Linked DNA regions of Mus musculus. The protein of the gene in region 1 interacts with the protein of each later gene in a biochemical or structural test. Links are inferred from orthologs where the notes say so. Each region holds a gene or a part of one and is shown on either strand. Other genes may lie near its edges.

Evidence for each region. The genes of interacting proteins can lie anywhere in the genome.
Region 2: the proteins of Mapk3 (region 1) and Ptprr form a complex in vitro, tested with the Homo sapiens proteins (2 studies listed by BioGRID). The link is inferred for Mus musculus from reciprocal best matches to the Homo sapiens genes MAPK3 and PTPRR.

What each region holds. Positions count from the first base shown.
Region 1 is NC_000073.6:126,758,429-126,762,579, forward strand, and holds the start of Mapk3 (mitogen-activated protein kinase 3), read left to right. Parts: upstream 1-1,197; 5' UTR 1,198-1,217; coding exon 1,218-1,390; intron 1,391-2,302; coding exon 2,303-2,485; intron 2,486-4,151.
Region 2 is NC_000076.6:116,045,753-116,049,406, reverse strand, and holds part of Ptprr (receptor-type tyrosine-protein phosphatase R isoform a precursor), read right to left. Parts: intron 1,310-3,654; coding exon 1,014-1,309; intron 1-1,013. UniProt on the Homo sapiens protein: Sequesters mitogen-activated protein kinases (MAPKs) such as MAPK1, MAPK3 and MAPK14 in the cytoplasm in an inactive form.

The DNA.
Region 1 (4,151 bases):
CTCAGATCTTTGGGCTTGCTTGGCAAGCATCTTTACCTACCCAACCATCTTACCAGCCCAGCGTGGGGGGAGGGGGGGACAGAAAGACAGAGACAGACAGAGACAGAGAAAAGGTGACAGTGAATTTAAATTGATTTAGTTACCTTTGTCCACAGCTACCACCCTTTCCCTCCTTCTCCCGTGAAGTGAGCTGGGTTGCACGTCCTCTGGGCAATCAGGCAGAGGATTTGTACGACACTGGGGCCTCAGCACACACCTGAGCCCCCCTGCAGGCCTGTGTCTTCACACTGGAGTCAGGACCGACTTCACAGCTTCACAGTGCTGCCTGCCGTCCACCACCCTCCAGATTGCTTCCTCATTATAAAACGTAAGATATACTCCCTCAGCAACTCAGGGTGGCCCACTCCTACCAAGTCTGACAGCCTGAATTGGACACCTGGGACCCACATGGTGGAAGGAATCAGATGTCCTCTGACCTCCACACAGGCTCTGTGACATACTTACGCTCCAACACACAAAATTAATAAATGTGGCAAATAAACGAATAAGAAATTATGGAAGCTGGGCATGGTGATACATACAGCTTCTAACTAATCCTAGCACTGGCGAGTTAGTATGTTGAGGCCAGCCTGGTTACCTAGTCTACATAGTGAGTTCTGGAACAGCCAGTTCCATGTCAAGAGACCCTCTTAAAAAAGAAAGAGAGAGAGAAAAGAAAGGATGGAGATGTGGCTCAGTGGTAGGATGCTTGCCTAGTAGCATCCTGAATCTGTATGATGGCTCAGGCCTAAAGGCAGGAGGATGTGTTCAAGGCCAACCTCCACCACATAGAGAGCCTTTGGGGCTAGCCTGGATTACCACTATCTGTTTAAATGAAACAAAGATGTGAGGCAGGTCTTCAAAGGTTAACTGTAAGCCGGGTGGGTTCCCTTAGCATTACTGAGGGCCACTGGCCCCTGGGGCTGCAGAACTCTCTTGGCAGACTAAAGTACCCTAGTGGCCAAGGCAGGGAAGGAACAGCGTAACTAGGCGGGAAAGCCGGGTGCGCGCCCAGGAGACCATGTGACGTCTCGGGCCCGCGCAGGCTCGCCCGGCAGGCGCGGGGGCGGGACGCGCGGGGGCGGGGGCGGAGCCTGGCGCGCGGCCCCGCGGTGACAGGGCGGTAGGGAGGGGCGGGGCCGCGGGCGGGGCAGCGGGGGGAGGCGGGAGGAGTGGAGATGGCGGCGGCGGCGGCGGCTCCGGGGGGCGGGGGCGGGGAGCCCAGGGGAACTGCTGGGGTCGTCCCGGTGGTCCCCGGGGAGGTGGAGGTGGTGAAGGGGCAGCCATTCGATGTGGGCCCACGCTACACGCAGCTGCAGTACATCGGCGAGGGCGCGTACGGCATGGTCAGGTGAGGGGGCGTCCCGGGAGGGGGCTTCGGAGCAGGGACAGCAGGTGTGTGCTCGGGACATGGGGGGCTCAGGGAGTGTCGCAGGGGAAGTATCGTGCAGTGACTTCTGGAGGACTAGGCGCTACTTTCTCCAGGGAGGGGGGTTGGAGGCTTTGAAGCCACCTTGTATTGTTAAGGGAGGGGCACCTGGGGGACCCTAGAGATAAAGGTGGAGCTAAGAGGATGAAGGGGGAGTGAGGGACCCACGAGCAGGTAGTGGGAGCCTTGGTTCCCCCCTGATGAGGCTGTGACAGAGAGTTTGAGAGAGGAGAGCAAAGCTCAGGGTGGGGCAAACCTTTGCACCTCTGCCCCTGGCAAGGCTAGGGGCCCAAAGTAGGGAAGGGTCTCTAGAATGTGCCTTATTTTGTGGTATACGGGTTTGTGAGTTCTCGCTGCCCCACTGTGTGCTCTGCTCTGGGCCTTTGTTCCTATGGGAGCAGCTCTGACCCAGGAACCGCACAGGGAGACCTGCCTGCCCCTCCTTATCTCTTCTCTCCTGTCCCATTACTGAATCCTCTAGGCTTCATCTACTTTCTCCATTTAACTCCTATCCCCTGGACCTGTCTGGGATTGAGAGAGTCCAGCTTGGGAAAGGGGAGGAGGGTGAGGGCAACTAGAATGTAAGAGGGTCCAGGAGAAAGGAAGTCGGTGAGTGGCCACTCTCTTCCTCTGTTTGTGAAGTCACTGAAAGGCTGCCTGGCTGATACCCAGCTTTCCCCTGGAGATCCCAGGCCTTCACAGCAGGAAGGAGCCAGCATTGTTTACATTTGGCCAGAACCCTCTCCTCCTCTCTCCAGTCCCTGCCAAGACCTGGGTGGGGCCAACAGGCCTGGATTCCCCCTTTGTAAGGCCACATCTCTCTGGCCCTCTCAGCTCAGCTTATGACCACGTGCGCAAGACCAGAGTGGCCATCAAGAAGATCAGCCCCTTTGAGCATCAAACCTACTGTCAGCGCACGCTGAGGGAGATCCAGATCTTGCTGCGATTCCGCCATGAGAATGTTATAGGCATCCGAGACATCCTCAGAGCGCCCACCCTGGAAGCCATGAGAGATGTGTATCCTTCACCTTAGCCACAGCCCCAGAGTAAAGCTAGGGAGCTTGGCTCTGTTGTCTGTGGTCATCTTTTGTACTACCCTCCAAAAAAAAAAAACCCCAGCAAAGTAACTTTTTAGCAGAGAGTCTACAGAGCATGAGAGCACACTGGCAGGCCTTGGATCCTGGTCTGTCGCAGCCAAGTGGAGTGGCCTTGAACACATCCCTTTCTGCTCTGTGCCCCAGTATGGTGTGTGGGGAGGGAGAATGCTGTGGAAAAAACGATCTCTATGGGAGCTTTGTCTTCTGACATCTGCAGGTCTGTGACATGACCCAGTCTCTGCCCACAGCCTGTTCTTGCTCAACAGACTCACGATTCTTTCTTTAGAGACCTCACACTGGATGGAAAGCAAAGAAGAAAACCGGTATTGGGCAGGCCTAGTGCTTTGGTTCTAATTCAACCTTCTAGCTTCCCTGTGTGACGGATGAGTTTTACTGTGTCCATTTCAAAGATAAGGAAACCGAGGCTCCTCTGTGTTAAGTTTTGCAGTGCCTTCTAGGGGGAAGGGGAGTGGGCGATACTTAATCCAACATGGAGGCAGTGGAGGCTTTCAAACCACATTGTATTGTTAAGAGGGGGAACCTGAGGACCCTAGAGTCACAGGGTGGAGCCAAGCCTTTGCACTCCTGCCCCTGGCTAGGCCGGGGGCTCAAGGAAGGGTGAGGGGCCCTGAGAGTCTGCCTGAATTCGGCAGTTCCTGTTAGTAGCTTCCTCTTCTCCCCCAGTTGGCTTCCCTGGAGCCTTCCCACCTTTCTGAGAGCCCCACCCTGATCACCTGTGGACTTGTACCTTGACCAGGGAGGTTAGTCCAGCCCTTGTTGCCCTTGCTTGACACTACTTGCCTAGTTCAGACATCCAGTTCATTGTCCATATCTACTTCCTGCCTGGCTCCATTGTTAGCAGACGGTAGCACCCATGGCCTTTTCCCTACCCACCCCTCCCAATGCCAGGATTTGTTCTACAGCCTCTGCAACTCTGACCACAGGAAATCGACATACTCCCGTCTTGCTGCATGACCTTCAGCAGGTCTCTGCATCTCTAGACTTGCACATTTATAAAGCAGCAGGGTTGGTCCCTGTGTGTATATATCTGCAGGTGCTTATTCCCTCGTTTCTTCTTTTTGAGAAAGGGGTCTTGCTATGTAGATCAGGCTAGCCCTGAGCTCACAGGGATCCAACTGCCTTTGCCTTGGGGGTGACACCAGCCCCAGTTTACATGTCTTCTATAGAAGACAGTTCAGACTTCAGTTTTTTTTTTTTTTTTTTTAAGAAAGTTTCACAGTGTATCCCTGGTTGGCCTCAGGCTAACTTTGTAGACCAGACTGGCTTTAAACTTCTAGGCAATCCTCTAGCCCCTGCCTCCCAAGTGCTGAGATTATAGGAGTGAGGTGCTCTACCCAGCTCCTGACTATTCTTCCAAAGATAAGCCATTTGTTTTTGCTTAATCTTTGTTTTACCTTCAAGTATAAAAGGACTCTTAGTTCCCCACCTTCTGGTGTATGGTCAAGCGCTCTGTGGGAGCGCACTGTTGGGGAGTGTCTTCCTCACTTTCTGGCACAAATCATCCCCATAAGGCAGGCATTTATTTTTAAGCAAACAGTTACTGTGTGCCAGATGGTATTCGTGCA
Region 2 (3,654 bases), on another chromosome or scaffold:
CAAGTGCAGTTCAATTTCATCATGTTATGAATAGGAGTTATCACAAAATAACCATACTTTCACTGAATTATGCTGTCCCTAAAGTCAAATTATTTGAATTTGAACAGAAGTTGAAAAAAACCATTTACTTATAGATTGGTATGAGTTTTTTGCTTTTGTTATCAAGCTTTAAAATGAGAATTTAAATTAGTTCTAAATACAGTTTGGTATTTCAATTCATATATATAGCATGTAACCATCAATAATGTTGAAGGCTTTATTTGGCTTTGTGGCTCAGGGTGGCTTTGAACTCATGACAGTCCTCCTCAAACCAGTATGAGAGAGCACTGGTTAGTATGAAAAACAGATTGAACCACGGAATGGATTTTCATATAACACTTTCACCGCTTGAGAAACTCTGGTTGGGTTATCTACCCTTCTGGGATTATGGTATCATGGAAATGTTAATGCTTGCCCAGGGATATTAGGAATATTATTACAGATCTCTGCCTTCCAACCAATTTTATTTACTCCAGTGACAGAACACTGCTCATCAACCTCCCCGATAAGAACTCTCTGTTTCAATTGTCTCTTTGTTTGTTACAACCGGAGTCAAGAGAATCGTTGGCAATTGCTACTTATTTATACATGTTGATAATAGGCCTATTCTTTAAGAATGTATTACACAGAAGGCAGGAGGCTCTGTATAAGATATGGTCTGCTGTAACAGTAAAGCCTTCCTAATAAAATCTTTATTTCTCCATATGTACATGTTACGGACCATGCCTGTGACATAGAAAAAAATCTTATTTCATGGGGAAGAGAAATAATGAGTAGCAAATAAACCATATCAGAGAATGGGAAATTCCCTGGTAAGTAATCATTGAGACCCAATGCTAAATGTTCACAATTAGTCTCTCTCTTGTTTTCCAGTGTCAGTCACAGAGGGGAACATCAGCACTAGTGCTAACATCAGCCTCAGCATCATTATCAACATCAGGACCAGCATCAGTGCTGGCTAACTTGGTACTTACCACCACAATCACATTTGCTGCTGGAATTGGGAGATTTTCTATTTCAAGATCTTGATCAGACTCAGCCAACAGATTAAGAGACGGGTCATATGCAGGTCTAGGAAATGCTGAATTAATAATCTGGTGATGTTTGCTTATTTGAACTTCGGAAGGGGAGTGGTAGTTATGTTTGTATGCCTCTTGTGCGATGTCCAGGCTCTTCTTGATATCCTGTGAATGGTCATAAATGAACACCGGCTTCCAACTCTTCTTTTGACGAATAGCCAAAAAGTGATCATTGTTTCTGGAAAAACAACCTACAAGACAAGAATCAGAAAGAAATAAAAGATCCTATCCAGAAAATCATATAGAATATATATGTTTGTGGGTTTGCATGCATGTATATTTTTGTGTACTAGGCCATCTTCTGCTACATATGCAGCTAGAGACACGAGCTCTGGGGGGGGGGGGTACTGGTTAGTTCATATTGTTGTTCCACCTATAGGGTTGCAGACCCCTTCCACTCCTTGGGTTCTTTCTCTAGGTCCTCCATTGGGGGCCCTGTGTTCCATCCTATAGATGACTGTGAGCATCCACTCTGTATTTGCCAGGCACTGTCATAGCCTCATATGAGACAGCTATATTTGGGTTTCTTCAGCAAAATCTTGCTGGCACATGCAATAGTGTCTGGGTTTGGTGGCTGATTATGGGATGGATCCCCGGGTGGGGTTGTCTCTGGATAGTCCATCCTTTCGTCTTAGCTCCAAACTTTGTCTCTGTAACTCCTTTCATGAGTATTTTGTCCCTATTCTAAGGAGGAATGAAGTATCCACACGTTCGTCTTCCCTCTTCTTGATTTTCTTATGTTTTGCAAATTGTATCTTGGGTAGTCTAAGTTTCTGGGTTAATATCCACTTATCAGTGAGATGGCAACAATTTTTGATTGTCTGATAGCATCCTTATTTATCATACCATAAAATTACATCTGTTTCTCAGCCTTTCTCTTGACTAAATAGTGCTATGTGAAAATACATCTCCACTGGTAGGTGACTAATGTGAAGAGAGATGTATATAACCTTGCTTTCACCATTAGTAATGACTTAGATGTGGCCAATGCAATAGGAGTATGATATGGAAACCATGTGTTAAAGTGCAACAACATAAAAGAATGCTGCTCTCTGGTAAGAGGAGAATACTCTGGCTGTCTCTGAACTTCTGTGGAGTAGAGAAACAATTTTCAACCTTATTATAGCTGTTGCTATTATAGATGTTTTAGTTATAGCAATTGAGCCTGAACACCAACAAGTACATTCATTATTTCTCCCGTTAGACAAATATTTTTTCAATTTAATATCTGCTGTTCTCGTTAGTTGATAACCGTAGAGGAAAATAGGTATTATATCTAATTTAAAAATCATTGTCTGGCTAATCAACCCATTACAAAAGAAAAAAAAACCCACCGCAATCGACTTTTTGATATTAAAGAGAGGAACAGATTAAAACAGCAATACTAGCAATATAGGTATGCCAGATTTGCCTGTTGGAAAGCAGCCTGAGTAATTACTTCTACATTTAGCATATCTTTTTGTAGACAATTTTTCTTTTATCTTTTATACATTATGTTTTGCCAAGACCTAAAAGTTGTTTTTGTAATTTTGCCTTTTGTGTTCATTCCTAAGGTCACATGTTAGTATCAACATTACAATATAAAACAATGCTTATAATGTACAGACATTGACATATCTGAAAAACAACTGAATTTATGTTGAACCTGTGAGGAAGCTCTAAACTAGAAGTAAATACTTAAAAACTGTAGACATGGGAGTGGGGGAAATGGTGAAAGGCTGAATTCGTTAAGTTTGCTGTGGTAATCATGATGGCTTGAATTCAGAGCCATAGTAACAAGAAAAGCTAATATCATGCCTTGTGCCTGTACTGTCATGACTAGCAAAGATGGAGATAAGAGAAGCCATGGGCTTCTTAGTCAGCTAGTCTAGCTAAATTATGGAGTTCCAGGATCAAGGAAAGACCCTGTCTTGAAAAAAAGGTGAAAAGGAAGACAAAAACACCTTGATCAAAGGTTGATCTCTGTCAACTACAAATACACATACACAAACACAAGCATACAAAAGCACACTCACACAAACACACACACTCACATACACATCATAACCATGTCTTGGAAAAAATTAATGACAACAAGGTCCACCACACACACACACACACACACACACACACACACACACACACACACACACAGACAGACCATAAGCATGCCTTGGAAAAAAAACTGATGATAACCAGGGCCAGTACTTGTGAGGCAGCAACATGAGGATCTGTAAGTCTTTGAGCTCCTGAGTCAAACCTTGTCTCAAAAACTGAGCAAAATGAAACAGTAATTTACAAAGTGGTGGCTTTGCCTAGAGCCTCAGTTGGTTGTCTATGATTTTTGTAAATACAGTGCCCCAAAGTAAACTGGGCAGGGGTGGGTTTATTTTAGCTTACATCCCAATCTTTGAGGAAAGCTATGGTAGAAACCTGGAAGCTGGGATTGAAGCAACAGCCACAGAGGAACACTGCTTCCTGGCTTGCTCCTCATGGCTTCACGGCTGGTGTTTTTTTGTTTTTTTGTTTTTTTTTAATGCTATCCATCCAGGATTGC